5 separate regions of the Mus musculus genome follow, and all the other regions are reported to be linked to region 1. Evidence: microRNA targets listed by miRTarBase, many of them from high-throughput screens and not tested one by one. Region 1 holds a microRNA gene; each other region holds the end of a gene's coding sequence.

Evidence for each region. The annotated mature microRNA mmu-miR-758-3p reads UUUGUGACCUGGUCCACUA and lies in region 1 at 1,734-1,752, opposite strand. An mRNA with a match to its seed (bases 2 to 7 or 8) in the 3' UTR can be bound and repressed. Matches are read on the target gene's strand: a 7mer-m8 pairs with bases 2 to 8, a 7mer-A1 pairs with bases 2 to 7 and ends in A, and an 8mer does both.
Region 2: the mRNA of Ank3 is a reported target of mmu-miR-758-3p. The part of its 3' UTR that is shown has no 7-base or 8-base seed match.
Region 3: the mRNA of Gpr158 is a reported target of mmu-miR-758-3p. Seed matches in the 3' UTR shown: 7mer-A1 at 1,297-1,303.
Region 4: the mRNA of Cdr2l is a reported target of mmu-miR-758-3p. Seed matches in the 3' UTR shown: 7mer-m8 at 3,606-3,612.
Region 5: miRTarBase lists Asap3 as a target of mmu-miR-758-3p. Seed matches in the 3' UTR shown: 7mer-m8 at 2,132-2,138, 7mer-A1 at 2,141-2,147 and 7mer-A1 at 2,481-2,487.

What each region holds. Positions count from the first base shown.
Region 1 is chr12:109,709,870-109,714,609 of GRCm38, reverse strand. Mir758 (microRNA 758) reads right to left here and starts at 1,800; the gene lies at 1,720-1,800. Mir411 (microRNA 411) reads right to left here and starts at 4,435; the gene lies at 4,354-4,435. It overlaps Mir299a (microRNA 299a), which reads right to left and starts at 3,972; the gene lies at 3,910-3,972. It overlaps Mir299b (microRNA 299b), which reads left to right and starts at 3,917; the gene lies at 3,917-3,965. It also overlaps Mir380, Mir1197, Mir323 and Mir329.
Region 2 is chr10:70,015,122-70,019,858 of GRCm38, forward strand. Ank3 (ankyrin 3, epithelial) reads left to right here. Exons shown (of 43, transcript NM_146005.3): 42 at 447-532. The coding sequence ends at 512. Among named protein-coding and RNA genes, the nearest start is that of Ccdc6, 80 kb to the right of the region's middle.
Region 3 is chr2:21,827,380-21,831,379 of GRCm38, reverse strand. Gpr158 (G protein-coupled receptor 158) reads right to left here. Exons shown (of 11, transcript NM_001004761.1): 11 at 836-4,000. The coding sequence ends at 3,687. Among named protein-coding and RNA genes, the nearest start is that of Gm39766, 13 kb to the right of the region's middle.
Region 4 is chr11:115,393,546-115,398,285 of GRCm38, reverse strand. It overlaps Cdr2l (cerebellar degeneration-related protein 2-like), which reads right to left. Exons shown (of 5, transcript NM_001080929.1): 5 at 2,154-4,740. The coding sequence ends at 4,049. It overlaps Gm32013 (a long non-coding RNA gene), which reads left to right. Exons shown (of 3, transcript XR_880312.3): 3 at 1-847. Among named protein-coding and RNA genes, the nearest start is that of Gm32013, 5.3 kb to the left of the region's middle.
Region 5 is chr4:136,243,148-136,247,887 of GRCm38, forward strand. It overlaps Asap3 (ArfGAP with SH3 domain, ankyrin repeat and PH domain 3), which reads left to right. Exons shown (of 25, transcript NM_001008232.2): 24 at 301-394; 25 at 642-3,426. The coding sequence ends at 713. Among named protein-coding and RNA genes, the nearest start is that of Tcea3, 2.4 kb to the right of the region's middle.

The sequences.
Region 1 (4,740 bases):
AGCTCTACTGCTGACCACAACCCTGGGTGGAGTTAAGGACTAAGAACAGATTTCACATCTTTTGTTTATTTGTTTGTTTGTTTGGTTGGTTGGTTGGTTTGGTTTTTTTCGAGACAGGGTTTCTCTGTATAGCCCTGGCTGTCCTGGAACTCATTCTGTAGACCAAGCTGGCCTCGAACTCAGAAATCCACCTGCCTCTGCCTCCCAAGTGCTGGGATTAAAGGCGTGCGCCACCACTGCCCCGCTCCAGATTTCATATCTTAAAGCTCACTGGGCAAATGTGTGTGCCAATTTCAGGTTTGCTTTCCTACTGCTAGAACACTGCTGATTCCAAGTCTCTTATTACAAGGATGTGGGTGTGTGTGAATAGCATGGATCTAGGTACCATCTGACACAGTGGGTGTTCTCTACAATAGACAGTCCTATAGCAGGGGTTGGCTGATTAAAAGCCCATCACCGTGCCTCCAAAGCATGCTGGACATGTGTGGGGGTGGCTGTGTCTAACCTGTTAGAAGCAAAGTGGGTGCAACCTACCTGTGATGACCTGGGGTAGAGTTGCCTCGGTGGCTGCCATCTTCCCCAACTTTGGAACACCATATTGGTTGAGAAGTCCTCCTGAGAATGGACAAGATACTGAAGGTTAGAAGCACAGGCAACAGAAATCTGATGTATGGGATGGGTTTTGTCCGTCACTCACTTGTTCATAACTATTAGTGTGTCCTCAGCTGAGGCTGAGGTATGGACCAGAAGGCCTCCATAGTTTGTTCTGATGGGAAGAGAGGTTGACCAAATGTGTTTCAAACACAGAAACCCCTCTTCCACATCCTCAGTTAACAATAACAATGACACCTTCCCAAACTGGACCTTCAGACCTGGCAGGCCTGGGAGGGTTTAGAGGACAAAGGACACCATTCAGAACGATAATCCACTCGCTGGCTTTGTGGAGAACCAGTTATTCCTGTCCCCTGGCTGGATGCTGACAGGACCATCCTTCCCTGAGACTGGGATCTGGACCACGAAGCCTCCAAGATGGGATTTGATACTGAAAAAAAGGTTAGCTGGGTGTGTTTCATTCTCATCAAAGAAACAGAGACCCAGAAAACCTCTCTTCCGGTACCAGAAGCGAACACTGACAAGACTACCTCGGTAATTCCCCAACGTGACCTTCAGACCTGGCAGGCCTGTTGAATGCAGGGTTGCACACTGGATGTTAGTCAAAGTGCTCAAGCAAGCCATTAGTTGATATATATCTGACAGCCATCCCATCACATGCCCCAGTACAGCAGACCTCCATGGCATGATCCTGAAGTTATGTCACAACCAGAGAGCAGTGGCGCAGTAGAGACTGGCTATAGGACTTACCACCATTTTGGGTAACCACAGAAAGGCACAGATGCCCCCAAACCAAAGATGATTCCTCCCACAGATTTAGCATGCAAGTGTGCTAAGGTGACCTGCGACCTGTGCCATATATAAATGGCATACACACACCCTGGTCATGTCTGACAACATGGTACGTTTCTTGAACTTGGATGGCCCCATATCAAGGAAGGGATCCAAGTATAGGACAGCATTGGAAGCCCATCCAATACTACCATAACAGGCACATATGTTGCAAGTACTGAGGATGCTGTCTCCAAGTCTAACAGCGTACAGCTGGCTTATTGCCTCTGTCCCCAAAAGTTGAGATCTCTTCCAGGAAGTTCTCCAAGGGAAGGTTAGATACTGAGGGTTAGTGGACCAGGTCACAAACGGCACAAATATAGCGTGTGCTCTCTGGTCAACCACCTCACGCACCCACACGTGTATCACATGTCGATGCCACTTTCCTGGTCTGCAAGTCACCCTGCCCACGAAGCTGCCAAGCCAGAGAAATTTGCTGAGAAGAAGGCTGCCACACAAGAGTTATTGTCAGACACAAGAAAAGACAAACCCGCTGGCTGGGTTGCGCTAGCACACACATTTAGTGTCCCCACCCCACAGCTGGTGTTAGCTCCAGGAAAGCTCGCAAGGCGGGATTAGATACCGCAAAGAGGTCGACCGTGTAATGTGCGCCATAAATGAAGCGAACGCGCCACGGACCACCTCTCTCCAAGTACCAAGCAGCAGCAGTAGGAAGACCGGGACACTGGCTCTTCCTCAAAGCAGATGTCACCTCCTGGAAGTCTTCCAAGGCGAGATGTGATATTGAGAAGAAGTAGACCATGTGTCCTACGTCATAAATAAAGCGTACACACCATGGTCAACCGCATCTTCAAATACCTTGAGGTAACGCTGGCTGATTCCAGCTCACTTTACTTAATTTGGTGTTACCTCCAAAATGCCTTCTCAATGAGTGTCACAAACTACCAGCAATCGGCATGTGTGGCAATGGCCACAAACTCATGTTTAATGCCACTATGACTTCCAGGATGCCCTGTAAGGCTGGGCTGGGTGCCAAATATTGGCTTTGGATCAAATGGCCAGAGTCGTAGGTAATGAACATGGCCTGTAGCCAAGCACTGGGTAATCTGTGTTGGATAGGGTCTGCCGCCTGAGCCCTACTCTCAATTGGTATGGCTTTCAGAAAGCCCCTGGTGACCGGCTGATGCAGAGATGTGGTGGACCATGCTGTACATGCTGGAATTAACGCACACACTCGACAGTCTACCATCTCCCCAAGTACTGTGCTGAAGCCAGGACAGGATATCTCCCATGAAGTTGGCTCGGTCTCTGGAAAACCCTCACGAATGACTTTGATAACGAGAAGATGTGGACCATACTACATACGACACAGAAGTAGCGCATGTTCTATGGTCAACCATCTTTTCAGGTACCATGGAGAGAGGGTGGTGCAGGAGCTGGCTTCTTTCCTCATGATTATCACTTCCAGGAAACCCTAGATGCAATGTTGAAAAGAGACCACCATGCATTGCCTGCTGCAGATGCAGAGAATATAGCAAAGAGAAGTTTGCAAGGACGCGAAGAGAAGACCCCGTAACTAGCACTGTGCCTTTAAGGAAATATTGTTCACAGGAAGCCCCCAAGGCGCATTCACTATTATGGGAAGGTGGACCAAATTAACATGCGCTGTAAGTAAAGCAAGAAGCATGGACAACCTCTACCCCAAGGCATTTGTCCTTCTGCCTTGCCCCCCCACCCCCAAGGTTAATGGGGCCTCTTTGGAAACCTTCAAAGCTGAAGTTGATATTGAAAAGAGTAGGCCAGGTTACAAATGGTGTTAATAATACACATGCAGTTTGCTTGATCCCTCTTCAGGTACCGTGAGGTCATTGCTGATGCAAGAACCAGAGCCCTGTCTCTGAGGCTAGCAGCATCTTCAGCAAGTTCTCCAAGGCTGGGCTGGAGGTAAGAAGAAGTGAGCCAAGAAGCAACTTTGATCTGTAAGCATACATGGAGGAGCCAGGCTGGGTCATCTTCCTCTAGAAGGCTAGACTTGATATGGAAAAAAAGATACTATATACGAAGCATCAGTGGAAACAGGGACTGTGTCTTCATGCATCTGTCTTTGCACTGTATCATGTAGCCCTAGCTGTCCTTCTATGGGCATAATGTCTTGAAGGCATCTGATGATAGCTTTGCAGATGATGAAAACACGCAGCATCCCTTGATGATGAGCATCTGTGGAGCTAATTGCCACTTTTTCAAGTCCTAAGGAGGGAGGGAGCATGCCCAGTTGGGATGTAGGACACCTTCCTGGAGGTTGTCATCATCCTTGAAGAAGCCCTTAAGGGCTGCACTGAAGCTGACAGGAACACCTTGCCACATGAATTAACAGAGAAAGCACACAAAAAGCAGAGGGATGTTTGGCCAAGCAGCCCGATGTAGAGAGCAAGCCAAAACAACGTTTCTTCTCTCACTTCAGGCTTGCTCGAGGATGGTATGGACTGGATGGCTGGGCTGGATACCAAGAAGCGGTTTACCGTCCCACATACATACTCAAAATGTATGTGGGACGGTAAACCATTTCTTCAAGTACCGCGTGACAGCAAGGACAGCTGTAAGAAGGTTCATGTCTGCCAGGTTGCCTCAGGACACCTCTTCAGGGATGGTGTTGAGAAGAAGCAGGTCATGGAGTCTACTAACCAAGAGTCGCCTAGACACCCCTGTCACTGAGGTCACGAAGAGCACTGATCCCAGAAAGCTTTGTGGTCTCCTCCCCAGAGATGGCAAGAGTTCCCAAGGCAGAGCTCAGCAGAGGAAGGGGGAGATTATGTCATTTCCCATCATGCAGGAAAGAACACACGCCATATTGAAAACCATCTCTTCCAGCATCATGGAGAAGCCCTGATGATGAGTCTACTGGCGTCTCCCCGAAGACAGCATCTTCTCCAGGGGCCTCGGGGATGGATTTGATACTGAGGGTTAGTGGACCGTGTTACATACGTCACAGATAAAGCGTACGCTATACGGTCTACTATCTCTCCAAGTACCACACAGAGACGCCGAGGACAAAGGCTGAGGGCACGTCCAGGAAGCCCTCTGGGCCATTGAGCTGGTGGAATCTTGAGTCTGGCTGGGCACAAAGCATGCATCATGCGGCAGGCACACAAAAGCCAAGAGTCTCATCTTCATGTCAGGTTTGACACCAGCAACTCATCCCCAAAATCGGCAGCTCTTCCAAAAGCTCATAAAGGTTGCAGACAAACGATGCTGTGGGGGTTACTACTCCACAAATGCTGCTGAAGTGCCTACCGGGTGCTGAAGGAATGGGCACTCAGGGACAGTAGGCATAAGGGC
Region 2 (4,737 bases), not on the chromosome of region 1:
AGGGCACTTTGTCCTAGCTTCGTGCTTATTTGGGAAGTCCAAGTCACACTACCACAGACTAGTTATGGCTCCGCTGACCTACAAATCTCATCAGCTACAACCAATGGGGATCGTTAACGGTTGGGGTTCAGGTGCTTTGTGGGTATGTTTAGCAATTTCTTCCACCTTATGTTAGGAAACAGGCTGACTGCTCTTTGAAACCATTAACCCTCCGTGTTGTTATGAAGTCTCGTTATGCTGTCATTACCTTGAAAGTGCTGACGCATGCTGTGGCATGTTGGGGAGCTGCTCTGTGCAGTCAAAGCCAAGGTCATCTGTGTCTGAGGATGCGACACGGCCTGGTGCTCTCACCCATTTCTCCTTCCTAATCCAGCCTCCAGGAATCAGTGTGGGAAACTGCTTTCAAACTCTTCCACTGCAAACACGTAACATGTGCTCTCCTCCAGCAGGGAGAAGGCTATAAGGTGAAGACGAAGAAGGAAATCCGGAACGTGGAGAAGAAAACCCACTAGTGACAGTGACGTCAGTCCAGGTGGGAAGTACACTTACGTCAGCAGCTAGACTTAAAAATCTTGAGAATTTTCTGGGTTCTCGGAATAAGTATATTCCTATATTCCCTTTCTCCTTCTTTCCTGAAATCTCACTGGAAGATGAAATGAAATAAATCTTGTTTTTATTTCTTTACATGAATGCAGATGTATATATGTATATATGTAAGTGTGTATATCTATGCATGTGTATGTATGTATCTACATACATGCATATGCACATTGAACTTTAACTCAAGTTGGGTCTATAAACATTCTCCATGTTTATGGCTTCTGCAGAAGCACATGCAAGCATGACTTGAGTCTGCTACTCTCTCACCATGAGGCTCCCTGGTATGTACAGTCATTGTGGAAAGACAACAGATCTGATGGCCTGTGCCCAAGTTTGAGTGTCGAGTTCAAGGGCAGCCAAAGTTATACAGAGAAACCCTGTTTGGGGGTGGAGGGTGGAGGTCTCCACATCTAAGTTAAATTGGAATTCCATACACCTTTTTATGTAAGCATAGACACAATTAGGAGTCCAATCACACAGGCTTTCTAGAAGTTAAATGCTTATTAAGTACGCTGTTTACATGTGTGTGGACTCTTGCTCTTGTTTTTCTGGATTTCACATTAGTGCCTTTTTGATACAGATATGATCAGAAAGCTAATCTGGGGTGAGGACACAGCTTTGGGAAGTTGTATCTTCAGGGCCTCTCCTCTCTGTCCTTTCAGTCTCTGGGTCAAAGTGACAGAGAGTAGGAATTCTAGTCTCATTTTCTCACCTGTCCTCCCTGCCACCAAAAACTCCCTGATCCTCCATTACAGGGATAAGGGGTTGAGAAATAACCTCATTTTAGGTACCTACGGCTTAGGTTTTATTTCATTGTTTTGAAACGTGACCTGCGGGAGCCCAGGCTGGACTTCGGCTTCCTTTGTGCCTGAGGATGTCCCCGAACTCTTGATCCACTTGCCCTTCCCCCGTGCTAGCATTCCAGGTCAGTACCACACCATGCACAGTTATGCAGTCTCGAGGATCAAATGCAGTCTTGGAGACCAAACCGGGGGCTTCATGAATCTTTACCGTCTGAGCTGCATCTCCACCCTCCCAGGAAGATCCTTAGTTATCCCTGACAGATAACCTTTCCTTTGCATCCTGTGAGGCTTGCTTTCCGTAGAAACAGCAATCGCAGGATGCCTGCTGCACTAGACTCATGTTTGTGTTCACCACAGATGCCCTGGAAACAGAATTTACCATGTGGACTCCAGAGTCTTTCTTTGTGGCTAATTCTCTTGGATTGGCACCCTTAGTGTCCCCGGCTAACTTAAGCAGCGGGTCCTAAAAGGTTAAGAAAATTACCCACAGTCTCATAAAAGCAGCAGAACTAGGAAATAAGTCCTAACTGACTCCCTCCCGAATGCTCCTCCTCAGACTCACTGCAGACCTGACCTGGCGGGTCGCCCCAAGTCAACAGGAAGCAAATAGAGAAAGACCATCATCTCGGTCTCCGAGGTTGGGGTGGATGGGTTCAGTCACTTTATGAATTATAGATATGTTGTCATTTTAAGGGATAATTCACAAATAATTATAGTTTTGGCCAGGGAGGAAACTAAATAGAGAGCTCAGACTCAAGGATTTCTGTCTTTCTTTCCTCTCCTCTGTCCTTCTTTCTTAGGTAAAGGGAAGGGGGTTAAAAAGAGAAAATGGGAATAGAGTAATATTATAAGAAATTAGACAAACAGGGATAGATTATTACATTTATTCCTAAAGCATCTTATAGCCATAATCTTTGTATATTGATACAAAATTTAAAATTAGTTGTGCTACTCTTAGATAGAAGTTGTGCCTATACAACTCATTGGGGAATACAAGGCTCAGACCCAGGCCTTTCGATAGCTGCTATTACAAACTGTTTAGAATTAAGTAATGTAAGTTCATGGTCAGATAGTCAAACGCACGGTCATATTAGATTCTCATTTAGTTAATTACAATAAAATGTTTTCAAGGTTATTCAGACAGTAAATAGCTAAAAATAGTCAATGTTTAACAATTCCTTTAGGGGGCTGGAAAGATGGCTCAGCAGTTAAGAGCACTGACTACTCTGCCAAAGGTCCTGAGTTCAATTCCCAGCAACCACATGGTGGCTCACAGCTATCTGTAATGGGATCCGATGCCCTTTTCTGGTGTGTCTAAGGACAGAGGCAGTGTACTCATATAAATAAAAATAAATAAATCTTTAAAAAATGTAAACAATTCCATTAGGCTATATATAGATAGATGGTCTTCAAAATGAACTCCAAGTTACTCACCTGTGGGGATTTGATCTTCACTCTCTAAAACCCACAGGAGGTGACTTAATGTGCTAGGTAAAAGCGTCACCACTGAGCTAACCCGCACAGCCCAAGGCCTTTGGGGATACGCGCTAAACCTCAAAGTAGCCTAACCGCTAAGTACTAGCGTTACAGGCTGAGTGGTAGAGTACTTACCCAGCATGCACAAGGCTCTGCCTGGGTTCAGGCCCCAGCAGCAAATGCATCTCTTCACATACCTGTCCCCCACAAACTGGGAAATGCATGCGGGTAATTCTAGCTCTTTAGCCGCTGAGGCTGGACTATTGCAAGGTTTAGAGGACTCAGTTACCTATCCATCATTCCCAGTGGCAGTCTTTCTGGGCCTGGAGATCTCCGTGTGGCCATTGGGGACATAGAGGTGAATCGATAGGGGTGCCAGGTAGCTTACCAGCTCTATGGGTTTGGCCAAGTTATCCAGCTTGCATGTTGCCACTTCCTCAGAGGGAACAGTGAAGGAGCTTGGAACGACCCCTGGTTGAACAACAATAACCCTCTGTAGAAAGATAGTAGTAACATGCCTCCAACTTGTTTCAGAACTCACTCAGTTTTTCCACATAAATTGCTTAATAACAGTAGTTGCTAAGCCTGTAGGAACCCTCAATTGGGAGGCTCTATTATAAAAGTATTAGAAGAAGCAAGAAGGAAACAAGTGTAGCAGCTGGCCAAGCTCAGGCACAGCAGTGGCAGCAGGGGGAGATCTCAGCTTAGCCATCCATCCCTGCTTCAGGCGAGGGTGGTTTGCTACAGTCACTATCAATGGGTCTCATGGTAAACTGAGGCAGTCAGCAGACCAGGTTTCTACTCCTTTTCTTTACCAAGAAATGAAGCCCAAAGAGACCCAGACAAAGCCAGAGGAGGTAGTGACCATTCCTCTCCCCTTCAGAGCCTGAGGTAGTTCATCCCACTTGGGGCCTCTCTGGGACATTTTCCCAGAATGTATCTGAGATACAGATAACTTGCCATCTGTTTTCCGGATACAGGATGGAGACAGAATTGAAGCCAGGTATTTTGGCTCTTGCCATTTTAATTCTCTGTGTAGTAGGGACTTAATACTACCCTGTTATTAGGATTGAGGTAATTCACTTCACAGCAGTGCCAGATATATAATAAACGCTTAATAAAGAAAAATGAAGCAAATGCATTTTAAAATATGCATTCATCTGCTTCCAGTATGTCACTTAACCCCCTTGCTGGGAAAGAGCAAAGTTGAAAAGGCCTCATTTATTGGTACTAGCTGAAGAGGAAAACTGTTGTGAGATGGGTATTAGGCCATTAAGTTTTCAGCCAAGTGTGCACTGGTGCACGTCTCTAATCATAGCACTTTGGAGACGGAGGCAAGAAGATCCAGAATTCAAGGCAAGAATGAGACTCAGTCTCCAAAAAGAGAGAAAGGAAAGAAGGAAGGAAGGAGGGAGGGTGGAAGGGAGGGAGGGAGGGAATAAGGAAGGAGAGAGAAAAAAAGACAAGAAAAGAAAAACCGAAAACTAAAATTAAAGGAAAAGTAAACCTTAATTTTTGATTATAGTTTCATTTTGTAATGAAAATTACTGCTTTTTAAAAAGAAATAGGGCCAGGAAGATGGCTCCACAGGTGACTGTGCTTGCCACCAAGCCTAATGTAGTGGTTTGAATGAGAATGGCCCTGTAGGCCCATATTTGAATACTTGGCTCCACAGTTGATTGAACTGTTTGGGAAGGACTAGGAGGTGTGGCCTTATTGGAGGAAGTATGTCAGTGGGGGTGTGAGCTTTGAGGTTTAAAAAGCCCTCACCATTCTAAGTTAGCACTCTCTTTCTCTCTCTCTCTCTCTCTCTCTCTCTCTCTCTCTCTCTCTTCAGTCTCCCCCTCTCCCTCCCTCT
Region 3 (4,000 bases), not on the chromosome of region 1:
TTCTCTTTTATCCACAAACACCCCCATTTATCTTTTCTGTTGTTGATTGAATTGAAACAGTGGTATCTTCTACATGACTGCCATGGACTTTTATTCATGCCCCATTTACTTTTCTTTCTAGATTGTGAGTACTCAGTAGCACAGCCTTTATCCTATATTTATCTCCTATTTTCCACGTTCATTTCATTAGACAGTTTTATTTCTGTAAGTTTATGGCTTTCACACCACAAAAGAAGAGACAGAAATTAGAAACCTGCTTAAACATTCCATTATCTGCCTTCTCCTCAGTTAACGGTAAATTTGAACATACAGTGTTCCTGAACTTAGCCCTCCACTTTTCTATGAACAAATGTTTAAAAAGAAAAATAGCCCAAAATTGGAGCAATATTCTTTGCAAATGTCTTTGCAAATATTCATGGTGGAAAATGTCATAAAATACATAACATCTTGACCAGCTTATGTGGGGTGAAATACATTTTTATCGAAACATTTTAGTGAAGAACTTTCAACAGATTTTAAATTTAGAACAAAGAAACTAGGACCCGAATGAACACCACACACACACACACACACACACACACACACACACACACACAAACACACCACAATCACACCACATACACACAATGCAACAGCACTATGAAGGCAACAAGAAGATGCACACACACACAAACAACTCACTAACATCACATACACACAATGCGATAGCATTGTGAAGGCAACAAGAAGACACACACACATACACAGAGGGAACCAATGTCATAAAGCTATATGTAATTCCTTTGAATAAGTTGCATAAATATGGTCAAATTTTGAGACATGAACACACCAATCATTTTCATATAAATGTTTTATTGCAGAGAAGTTATAGTTATTTACATGCTGCAACACATCACAACATAAATTACCAGGTATTCCATGGTGGGATGCTGTAGATTTAGATAATAGTTTTAGAAGAACCACAGGTTAAGTGAAGAGACTTACAGCTTTGTTGACTCTACAACTCTTGACTGCTAAGTGCTAGAAGTCAAAGGCAGTGTGTTGTCAGTCCTACCTATCACCACTCGCATGCAGAAACCTAGGAAGCAAATACAAGACAACTGTCGGGATTCAATCCGTATTGCCACCGAAGTTTACGAGAGGTCAAGTCATAATTTATGTTGTAAAGCATTTAATTCTTGCATAAAATATACACTTCTATTAAGACAGATATAAATCTACTTATTTATAAACCCTGGCTTAAAACAACAACAGGGTGCAGCCTGCACATGCATTGAAAGGACAACCTAGCAAATGTTTGTGAGACCTTCACACTGTATGCACTTTCTATTGTTCTCAGCCAGGGAAAAGAGCTTCCAGAATGACAGAGTTCAATTTCTTTTGGTGATAAGTTATGAAAATGAAGCTCTAGGAAAGAACCTAGCTATTTGTGCTGATTTGTGGCGGTGGAGAGTAATCTATGGGGGGCAGGGGCAGACTGTCACTATGGTATAATTTGGCAAATCTTCTGTGAGCCACACATCAAGCAGGGTCACCCTGAAGTGCAGTGAAGTCAGTGACAGTTGCCTGCTTAATTCTGAGGCAAATCTAGTGCTAACAGCTCTCAGACACAAGTGAAACAAGTACGCAAGTCTACAAACTCTAAGCCAAGTTCACAAATGCTCCTCAAAATAGAATTCTAAAGTCACAAAGTAGATAGGCTTTGATTGGAAGGGTGGGGATGATAGGGATTAATGAAGGCAGCAGTTAGCAATAAAATCTCTATAGATTTCCAAACCTAGCCCACCAACCTGAGTAATGAATGAAGCAAGCAAATGGGTATGCCCAGCTCTGCCAACTCCTCAAGTGCTTGCTTTCTCCTGAATACAAAAGTAAACACTGAGCAAAGTTTGATGATAGACACAAAGCATAAGCACAGCCTTATATCCACCTTCTGATTCCTTCTCCCCTCCTGCATCATCCTAGCAAATTCTTTTTGTTGCTCACCAAAGGTAAAACAGTTCCTATGGATGGAAATGTCTTCGTCACATAAGCAGTTGTTTAGTATTTATGATGGGAGAAAATCAAGCCTGGGCTGTAGTTTTAAGTGATAGATCTTTAAATGAAATGTGCCTGGATTTTAGAGTCTTATTTCGGCATTGCAATCCTTAGAGCTAAGTCAGAAGCTCAGGATGTTTATGCTAGAGATCAGCATGGAATGCAGCAAGTTCTAGAAGATATGCTTTGATGTATGCACACCAATCTTAGGCTTTGCATTTTGAGCTAGGTGGCTTGCAAGGACAGTTTGAAGGACTTGTAAGTTCTGGTACTGGGGAGTGTAAAGAGCCTGTACCACCTATGGGCTTTGAGTAAATCAAGTTATAAAATCTCTTTGGGATTTGAGCCCAGCAAATTCTGTACCTAGATGAAGCAATGAATAAAAGTTTATGAGAATAAATAGTTTAAGGTAATTTAAAATATATTTTCAGTATGCATAATAAAAATATATCCATACAATGATCTTGATGCTATCATTAATTTTTCTCTTTATAAAAATAATCCCTGGAGCTATTAGGAGCGACCTTTCTGTATTTGTCATGAAAGGCAATTTCCTGGACCTGCAGTATGCACTCGTTGTTAAGGCGCTCCTAGAGTTGGCCTCTTCTGTTGGTAACAATGTACAGCATAGTTTCCTCATTCGGCTTCTTCCTTAGGAAATGCTAATGTGAAATACTGAAAGAGTCATTGGGTTGATTTAGCTCTGACTTGGAACAAACAATGGATAAGTTGTCCTTAACTTACTGAGACATATGACTAAACAGGACCACTTCATCTCCGAGATTAATAAAGCTTCAGAGTCCCTACAAGAAGTGTAGAATAAGCAACTCAACTTATATTTAAAAATTAAGACATTACAACAAGCCATGGTGGGAAACAAAAGAGTCAGACCCAACTTCACTATATAAACCACAGCCCAAACTAAAAGTTTTCATCTTAACTGTTATGGCTTCCTAAGCCAGAGAAAGCTTACTGTACTCCAAGACTCAACCACACTTGGTAGATGATAGCAGGTATTTGGTAGGTTGCAATGACAATTGAGTAGCTGCAGATTGCATAAATGTGTTGTGTCATATAATATCAAAGTTATTTGCAAAAATTATACAATCTGGAATGCTTGAATACAAGACACAACAATGTACTGGAACAGATTTTAAGAAAATGAGAGCAATCGTGTATATAAAAGGTATCAGGGTGCATTAAGTTAGCAGTGCTACCAAGGTTAAATAGGTAATGAAGGTTGGCTTTTCAGTCAGCTACTTAGAATCACAGTCACATTTATCTAAGTTTTCCCATCTTAAAATCCATGCGTCTGTCTTCCATGCCTCCTGGTGAATCTTGCTTGGTACCATTCAATCCCATGTGTAAAGACAGACAGGGCAATGTCCCTTAAACAGGCGGAAATGCTAAGCTGTCCTCCAGTGTTGATCTGGCTTTTCATGGCAGAGTCAGCCTTCCTTCTTATGATGCATAATTGCCTTTTTCTGGCCTTCTCCAGCCCTTGCCTTCACCTTACTGCACTATGTGCCATGTTTCCCTAGGCTAACAAAGATGCCTTGGTAACTTGTGATTTTCAGATCTATTTTTATCAAACTCGGGATTACCCCTTTCTTCCCAGGGTGGTCCACTTTGAAAGTGTCCCAGACTTCCTATTTCTGAGGCCCTGGTATCTTATTTGCACTTAAAGCAGAGGAGGCAGGTAAAGTTACGCTTCTTTCAGCATTTGGTTGTTCTAGGGGCTCGAACTCCCAGGGACACACTTCGGCTCGTGATGTTAAGGGCTGATGGGAGTTATTACTTGAGTTACAGGAGCCAGGAATGATATCCACAGAGGAAGATGTCTGTTTCTCCTGGTCTCCCATTTGGTTGAGATTTTCATTCTCTACTTTTGGTGCTACGACTTTGTGGGGCAGTTCTTCATATTGCCCAGCACACATATTGGTTGTGTAGAGCTGGCTTCCAT
Region 4 (4,740 bases), not on the chromosome of region 1:
CCTCCCAGCTGGACTGAAAGAGGGCGTGTGCTCAACTGGCTCCTCACCAGCGGGACTTTGGGTGTTGCCAGCAAAAGGGGGACGATCCAAACTCAGCCCCGGAGGCTAGTTCTAAATATGTATATATTTTTTCACAATAAAAAAAATTGTAGGTGAAAACTGTCTAAGTAGGTTTGAAAAGAAGGCTATTGAAAAGGGAAGGCAGAGCCAAGTGTGATAAGCTGTACACCTAAACTCCCAGTACCATGGAAGCTCTGAAGTCCCAGCAAATTCCTGTAAGGCCACAGGGGCTAAACATTACAGCCCAGCACACTTATTTCGCATAATAAACCCCTCCTCCTGGATTCTTCAAGGCAAGATCTCTCTGTGGAACAATTCTGGATGTCCTGGAACTCACTTTGTAGACCAGGCTGGCCTTGAACTCACAGAGATCTGCCTGCCTCTGCCCCCTAACTAAAGGCATGTGCCACCATGCCTGGCAAAAATCATTTCTCAATAACAATAGAGGGACACCGGACAAGAATGGTCACAGGCATCTCCTGTTCCGTGTGATGATGCTGAGACCCAAGACTGAAGCAACGAGACCTTAGGAGTGTCGGAACCAGGGATGAGGGTGGCGACCAAGAGTTCTGGGTCCCTGAAGCTTTCAGAAAGGCATGCCTACTCTAAGTGCAGTAAGAAAGTGAAGGCCTGGTGTGGAGGCACACGCCTGTGATTGTGGACACGAGGGGGTCAGGACAACTTCGAGGAGTGGGCTTCTCTCCTTCCTACTTTACATGGACTCTGGGGCCCAAACTCATGTTACCAGGACATGCCGAGCCATCTTACAGCAGGCCTCTATGACTTAAAAAAAAATTACATTTATTTTTTTACATTTATTTTACATGCCAAAGCTGTTGCGGAAGTCAGAGGACATAGAGTCATTTTTACATGTTGAGCCATTTTGTGGGTCGCTCTATGACTTTTTAAAAACCTGTCTTCTCATATATTGTATCTACGATCTACACAGATTAAGATAAGAGGTGGGGTCAGGGCACAGTGGTGCACTCCTTTAATCCCAGCATTTGGGAAGCAAAGGTCAGTGGATCTCTGAGTTCCAGGCCAGCCTGGTGTACACAGTGATACCCTGTCTGGGTTTTTTCATTTGTTTGATTGTTTGAGTGTGAGTGTTTTGCCTGCATGTATATATATGTGTACCATGTGTATGCCTGGTGCCTGCAGAAACCGGAAGAAGGCATTGGATCCCCTGAAACTAGAGTACAGATAATTGAGATCTGGGTGCTGGCAACCGAGCCCAGGTACTCTGCAAGAACAAAAAGTACTCTTTACTGCTGAGCCATCTCTTCAGTCCCGAAACCATGTCTAGAAGAAGAGGAAGAAGAGGAGGAGGAGGAGGAGGAGGAGGAGGAGGAGGAGGAGGAGGAGGAGGAGGAGGAAGAAGAAGAAGAAGAAGAAGAAGAAGAAGAAGAAGAAGAAGAAGAAGAAGAAGAAGAAGAAGAAAGGAGGAGGAGGAGGAAGAAGAGGAGAAGGAAGAGGGAGAGAGGGGGAGGAAGAAGCTGGGGGTGTGGTCCAGTGACAGTGTCTAACAAGTACAAAACCCTGGCTTCAATCCCTAGTACCAGAGAAACTGGACGTAGTGGCAAATTTCTATAATCCCAGCACTTGGGAAGTAAAGGCAGGAGGGTCAGAAGTTCAAGGCCACCCTCATCACTCACTGCATAGCAAGCTTCAGTCTAACTTAACGTCCATGAGATCCTGTCTCAAAATGACAAGCACTCCCCCCACACTGTTGATCATGAATGCTGTGTCTGATAGAGCTCCACCTTCCTGCCCCCATTGTTAGGTCACTTGCTTTTATTTGTAGTTGCTTTGGGGGGACTCTCCCCAAGCCAGAAAGTAAACTCTAGGGCGATCCAGACCCTTTGTGCTTTGTTGACCAGAGTGCTTGGCATAGCAGGCTCTTCATAGACACAGACTTTCCTGAGGGCTGATTGCAGGCTGTCTAATCATAGGTGAGTAGTCATGAGAACGCTGAGATTTCAGGGCACAAAGCAACCTCAAAGGACACACCCGTCATCCGCAGTGCTGCATGGCAAGGGGCAGGGGGCCCGTGAGACTCGGAGGCGAAACGATAGACCCAGGGTCACTTGGACTTCTAGAATACCGGTGCACTTTTTATTAAAGAAGAGAATAAAGCATTTGTAAATATATTTCTCTCATGTATACTTCAAAGGTGACGCTGATCGGCTGCTACAGAACTGGGGAAGTGAACAGGCCTGAATTCCTCCCCATCCCCAGATGACAGGGACACACAGAGGGTCTGGAGGTGCCCAGCCCCAAAGGACAAAAGGTTCCAAGTCGTGTGAACAGAAGGATCCAGCTGCCAACTGGCATCCCAGTGCCACCTGGAACAGCGTAGCCTCTCCAGGGATGTCAGACATGCTTGATAAGAAAGCCCCTTTACCCATTAGAAGGAGGTAAGGCATGACGGTTCCTCCTGGGCTCCCAGCACTGAGACCACAGTCACTGCCTCCTGCCGGATTGTATGGCTCCTTTGATTTCTAGAATCTTGAGAAGGGTGGCGGAAGGAACCAGAAGTCCTGAAGGACTGCTGAGGGCAAGCTGGAGCCCTGGGCATGTCTTAAGTGATGCTTGACTTTCTGAAGTTTTAGACTAAAATACTGAACCCTTGACCCAGGTGGGGCCTCAAAAGTCATCCCCATAGAGGCGGGAGGTAAAGAAGAGGCATTCTGTAGAAAGGTGGAAGAGGAGACAGTTCTTCCTCAACTTAAGAACACAACGCAACATGAGGGCCCGGCAGTGGTAGATCACACCTTTAATCCCAGCACTTGGGAGGCAGAGGCAGGAGGATCTGAGTTGGAGACCAGCCTGGTCCACAGAGTGAGTTCCAGGCCAGCCAGGGCTACACAGAGAATCCCTGTCTCAAAAAAACAAAACAAAACAAAGCAAAACAAAAAAACAGATCAAAGCCCAACCAAACAAAACAAGTAAGGGTCCTACAGTCCCTGGTGAAGGACAGGCATGAACACTTGGACCTGGGTTGGTGACACTCCTACAGGACATTCTGAAGGCTGCAGATGTGAACTGTCCCTGGGTGGCCTGAGGAAGAGAGGACTGGATGAGACATCATGGTCCCTGAGATGGGGGCAGGCGCAGAGAAAGGAATGAAAGCAAAGGTGGTTTGCAGGCTTGGGGAGGGAGGAAGGGGTGAAACTCCCTACCATCCCGGCCCCTGGAAGGCTTCATGCCTAGAGGATAACTCCAGGAATGGAACTTGGCTCTGAGAGGAAAGGGACACTACCCGTGTATGGCTGTTGTGGGGTTCTCTCTTCCTCTATTCAGACTGGCTATAGATCTGTGGTGAGCAGAAGCCCTTTGCCAGGGCTGGAGGGGATACACTCGAGCCTGGCTAAACTTCCTGCTCTGCAAGGTGGGGGCTATCTGTGGCCTGCTCAGACCTCTGGGAGTGGTACAGCTGGTGCGAAGGGAATGACAGTCATAACTGGCAAGAAGCAGTGAGTGGTCTGGGAGACTCCAGACACCAGCAATGGCTGGCTCTGAGGTCCCCTTTCAAGTGTTTCCAGTTGTGACAAGGCTTCAGGAGGCCTTGCATTGCAAATCTCTCAGAAAAAAAAAAAAAAAAAACCAAAAAACAAAAACAACTTTGGAGGGCAAAGCTAGAAAGGCTTGCAGAAGACTGGCAGCAATCTGAGGGTGAAGCCTGGGGTCCAGAAGCTGAGGGCTGGGGGAGCTGAAAAGCCCCCAGGGACAGTGGTGGAGTGGCAGTGGCGGGGTGGGGAGTGTGTTTGGCTTTTAAACTGAGCTGTGCCTTTGAGCTGAAGCAAAGTGGCCAAGGGAGGCAGAACAGGTGAGCCGAGCCACCAGCAGGGAATATGCAGTGTCCCCAGCCACCTGCTATGATATATTGCTGCATAAAGGGCTTTCTCACTTGCCAGGAGGCTGCCAGCCAGGCATGAGGGACCCCTCTGGTCGGGAGGCGGAGGGAGGCGACAGGCCTAGAGAGGGGTCACTTGCTGCTGTGTGTCTTGACTTTGGTGGCGTTGATGTCGGCCTTGGTCTTCTGGATCCTGGCAAAGATCTCTTTGAAGAGTGCCTTGTACTCCGGCTGGCTCTGCTCCAGCCGCTTATCCACAGCCTCCACGTGCTGGCTTAGGCTCTTCTCACCCGCCTTGCCCTCTCCCGGGCTCTCTTCGCCCCCCAGTAGGTCCCTCCAGGAGCTGTCCCGGGAGATGGGCCGTGAGGTCTGCACCCCCGCGTGCCGCACTCCGGCACCGTGCTGCCGGCACTTGCTCAGTAGCTCCTCGTATTTCTCCAGCAGCGCGTGGTACTGCTCATCCACCTCCCGCAGGATAGACATACCGCGCCTGCGCACACTGTTGGCATGCAACGTGAGGTTGCCAGCATGGCGGCTGGCTGGGTCTTTGGCCACTATGGCATTGAGCGCCGTGTCACTGCAGCTCTTGCGCACTGCGTGGCTGGGGGAAGCGGCAGGCGAGGAGACACCATCCTGGGCATTAGAGTCATCTCCACTGCCTGGCTGGGGGTCATCGGCCTCAGGGGCCTGAGTGAGGGGCGCCAGCAGAGCCTCAGCCAGGTGCTCCTCCCGGGCCAGCAGGTAGGTCTTGGCCTGCTTCATCTGCTGCAGCTCCAGCAACTCGGCCTCCAGCTCCTGCACGCGCAGGCGGCAGCCCTCCATCT
Region 5 (4,740 bases), not on the chromosome of region 1:
CTGGATCTTTCTTAAGGGCTCCATCTTATCCCCAACTGCCATCCAGGAGTCAATGCCTCTCTTCTCTGCAAACCCTTTTTGTCTAGACTTAGTTCCCTATGGACTTAGGAGTGCCCTCAGAGCCCTCTGGGGAGAGGTCAGTTCCAGACCTCCAGGGCCTGTGAAGACCCAGCCTAGGGGCCTGGTGGATTCTGATTCTCCTCACCCCGCCCCCCCCCCTCCCAGCCTTGTTTGTCTACCTGGGTCCCTCTGCGGTGCTTCCGCCAGCAGAGTTAACAACCGGTCATCTTTGCCTTCCAGCTCAGAGAGCACTCGATCCTACAGACGGGGAGGCCGAAGTCTGGAAGACAGTCCCTCTGCCCGGCAGCCTCTGTGTAGTAGAAGGCACATTCCGGTAGGCGCACTTGTGTATGCTTTGAAGTGTAGGTGCCTGGGCTGTAGAGTTGGTTCAAGAACAGGCAGAGAGGGGAGGGAGACCTCTTTCCGTGGTGACAACACCGTGGGCTGAGGTAGCCACTGTTAAGCTTGGTGCCACCTTCCTGCTTAGTCCAGGACTGTGTGAGTTCGAGCCTGACTGTAGCCGTTTCCCAGAGAAGATGCAAAAGAAGCTTTAACTGGCAGCTTCATCCTTCTTCACCCAGGTTGGCCTCGTGGAAGGAGATGGCTCAAAGATCGGGGTTCTCCCGGATTCCCTGCAACTCTTGCACGACTAGCTCCTTGCTGACCCCTCTGCATGGCTCACACTGGACCCCAACATTCAGAGCTGGGACTTGAGACCGCAGATCTGGGAGCTCACATTCCTTATGGGAACCATGACCCTGCCAAGGACACTGGCCCTTCTGTGTTGGGGCTGACGTCCTGAGCCAGGCAGCCCTGGAGTTAGATCTGACAATGTCTGGGTTGAGTTAAGTTACACAACTCTCAATACCTACTATATTAGGATTGTGTTTCTCCCTACCAGCGTGGGACCCGTTCTCATCATTCATGCCCAGGTGCTGTCTCGTGGCCACTTATCAATCTGGTGACTTTCTTTAGCGAAGTCCAGCTTTATGTCCAGACCTTTGCTGGGTACTATGGATGCCACATGAATAGGACACACATCCCGCAGGTGCGGATCCTCACTGGAAAGCTGGGCTCAAGAACTGACTCGGAAGGAGCAGAGCTAGGTTGCAGAGGGATGGCTCTGAGCTCAGGGCCGGGACTGACCTCAGCTGGTCTCCTGTCTGGTCACTGCAGTTGTTACAGCCCAGTTCCGGTGGCCAAGGCCTGTGACTCCCAGTCTAAAGTATGCTCCATTAGAGGGCAGCCTTACCCTCCCTGGGGTCTGTACTGTGTCCCTCCGTCTGGAAGTAGAATATGACTCACCTGCCTTGATTTCACAGAAAGGAAAAGGATGGTCTGGGTTGACCTATCTCATTTCTCTCACTTTTCTCTCGATGAATTCAGAAGCCTGGGGGAACGAGGGATCAGGAAAGGAGAAAGGCGCTGGGAAGATAAGAGAAACTTCAAAAGTCTGCTTTCTAGGGCCAGAAATCCCACCATCGCTTAGTCCAATTACAAAGCCAGACCACCAACAACCATGGACAGCTCTGTTTCACACCTCCTTGGTGGTGGGGCCTGCAGGGGTGGGCCAAGCCGAACAGGGGAGGCCAGAGGGCACCAAGTGAGTAGCCAGCAGTGTGGCTAGGAATTGAACTGTGCACTCTGGAGGCTGCTGTGGTCCTTGGTCCTAAAACAGGATTGTTTCTGAGCCCCAGGTCAACTTGTGTTCATCTCATTCTTACTGTTTTACTTATCAAAGGATTCCTGGGGGAAGGGACGAATTCCCCTGGGAGACTCTTGGGACTTGGGATGCTTTCCCTGGCCAGGTTGGTAAAGAGTAGTGGTCAGAGAACAACAGGGAGTTTTGCCACAGGAGACATTTGGTGAGGCAAGGACTGGAGGGGGCATCGCTGAGCTCAGGGTGCCCTCAGCATCCTCCTTACAGCATCTCTTAATCTGTCTTGTGTCGTTGTAACGGAACGATAGAGGCTGGGTGCTTTCTACAGTAAAGAGTTTTCTTTGGCTTAGGGTTCTGGTGATTGGAAAGTCCAAACAGCATGCCATGAATGCCCTGTAAAAGGCCCCGTCTGTCACAACATCACAAAAGAGGAGAAAGCAAGCACTTATGTGCAGTAATCGCAATTTGCTTTATTTATAGAATCTCACTTCTGTAAGAACTCACTCCCTAGAGGCAGAGCCCCTCACATAATTGCCTTCCACTAGGCGCTGCCCCTTAAAGGCTCACTCACCCTTCCACATTGCCACACCAGGAAGGAAGAAAACACACTCAAAACACACCCACATGAGCCGGGCGTGGTGGCACACACCTTTAATTGCAGCACTCGGGAGGCAGAGGCAAGCAGATTTTTGAGTTCGAGGCCAGCCTGGTCTACAGAGTAAGTTCCAGGACAGTCAGGGCTACACAGAGAAACCCTGTCTCACAAAAAAACAAAAAACAAAACAAAAAAAAAACCCATACCCACATGGTATGGTTTATCCTCACAGCAATGAACTAGCCAATCCAAAATGTTGTCAGCAGCCAGGCTCAGAACCCCTGGTGTGCAGGAAAAGCACACTGGGCCAGAGCCTGAGGACCTGATTCGTGGCTCACCCATGGTCCCGACCACACCCCCTCTTGGTTGCCCTGAGATGATGAGTTGGGTAATGGAGTTTGTGAGGTGAGCCCTGAATGCATAACAAGGGGAGAAATGAAACAGAAAAGGTTTGTCAGCAGTGAAGGACAGAGAAGAAGGCTGTTGGGAAAGTGCTTGCCATACAACACGCAAGGTTGAGGATTTGAGTTCGAATCTGCAGGGCTTATGCCAAGAGCTAAGTACACAGTGTCCTCCCAGACTCCTGGCTCTGTGGAAGCAGACCCTGGAGGATCCCGGAAGCCTGCTGGGCAGCTCCAGGTTCAGTGAGAGACCCTGTCTCAAAACATAAGGAGGCTAGCAATTGAGACCACCACCAGTCTCTGGCTGCCTGCCTCCTGCCGAGTACACACACACACACACACACACACAAGCATAAAAGACGCTGGCACAGCTGCACACATCTGTAATTCCAGCATTCTGGGGACTGAGGCAGGGCCATAGTGAGTTAGCAAATACCTTTGCGCTGTCCCTTTGAGAGTAAAGAATGGGGTGTTTACCACCGATGGTGAAACCCCTCTGAGGGTATCAGTTCCCTGTCTGCCCCCCCCCCCCAAAGCTCACAGGGAAATAAGACAGTTGTGTGCATCTTTGTGTGCAGGTGACCTCTCTCTTGGACAGGTGGGCAGAAGGGATACAATGGGTACCAGCAAATGCTGGCTGTACCGAGGAGGCGGCCTCCCACTTCCTGAGATTGACTCTTCTATTTGCATAATAAAGTCTGACGCGTTTTCTTAGGGTCCTTCAAGCTTCTTTTGGCCAAGAGGCCTCCCAGAAGCTCCACTGAAGAAAAACCTGGCTTTGGCCACATGGTGTTAAGGCCCCGCCCTTCCGGACCCATCCCGGACCTCTCCACAACACTCCGCTATAGCCAAGGACTTTTCAGCTCCTCCCCCGGCCACCTCCTCACCTCCCCACCCCCTGCTGACATGTCAGTGATCCCCAAGCTTTGTTCTCTGAGTGCTCCAGGAGAGCCGTCTGGCTCAGGACGCTAGAAATACCTGGAACACAGTAGGAGCTCAGTAAATAGAATAACCGCTTGCGGCCTGACCGACTACACAGACCTCCCCCTCCCCCAAACTTCCATTCTGCCTTTTGAGGCAATAAATTTCACTTCTTGGGACGGGGATGAGGCCCCAGCTGGGCCTTACACTTGCCCTCTCTCCCTCCTCTCCCCACCCCAGCTGTGAGGAATACAGTCCTCTTTAATGGTTATTCTGCCCAGCCTGCCGCCCCTGAGATTTTTCTTGCTAGTTGACTGGATACCGTTTGTCGAATGAAAAAAAAAAAAAAACAAAAAACAAAAAACCTTGACCGTCATCACACTGCAGCAGTTGGGAGACAGGTGTCCACAACAGGCTCCAGACTTGTTTCTCTGAGGTTATCTCAGAAAGTTCCTTCACACACTGTGAGCCCTCTTCTGCCCCGCTTCAAATCAGAGACCCTCGCAGAAAGGTCATTTTCTGTCAGGAGGGGAACTAGGTCTTCAGCGAATTCTTGGAATTACCGCTCGCGAGCCGAGAGTGGGAGGCAGAGTTATTCCCTCCACCCCAAATTACTCTTCCAAGCCCACCCCCTGTGTACCGGAATCACCCAAAACTTAGTCTTTCGGAGCGTGGTCCCGATACCCCTTTGAGAGGTTGTTAGAAAAAATAAAGACTGGCCGGCAAAGGGCTCTGAGTATACCTCGCGAGTACGTGTACGGCACAGGCCTTGGGCGCACCAAGGAGCCTACCTAAGTTAGGGCAGAGCTGACGTCAAAATCTGCACCAAGATGCGATGAATTCACCAACTTTCCCAGCTTGGGCATAGCTCCCTCTGGGAGCGCAGTGATGCTGAGACCCGGCAGCTCTGTACTTCCCACTGCTATGCTGACACTCATCACCCCCGAACCCTCATGCTCGAATCTCCCTGGAGCCTGGGGCACCCCTAGGAGAGTTGGAAGAGAAGAGCCCCTTCTTCCAGATTGGTCCTCCCCTCCCACTTACACACCCCCTGAGGCACGACCCGCCAGGCTCAGGCAATCTTTGCCCGGGCAGTCCTTGAA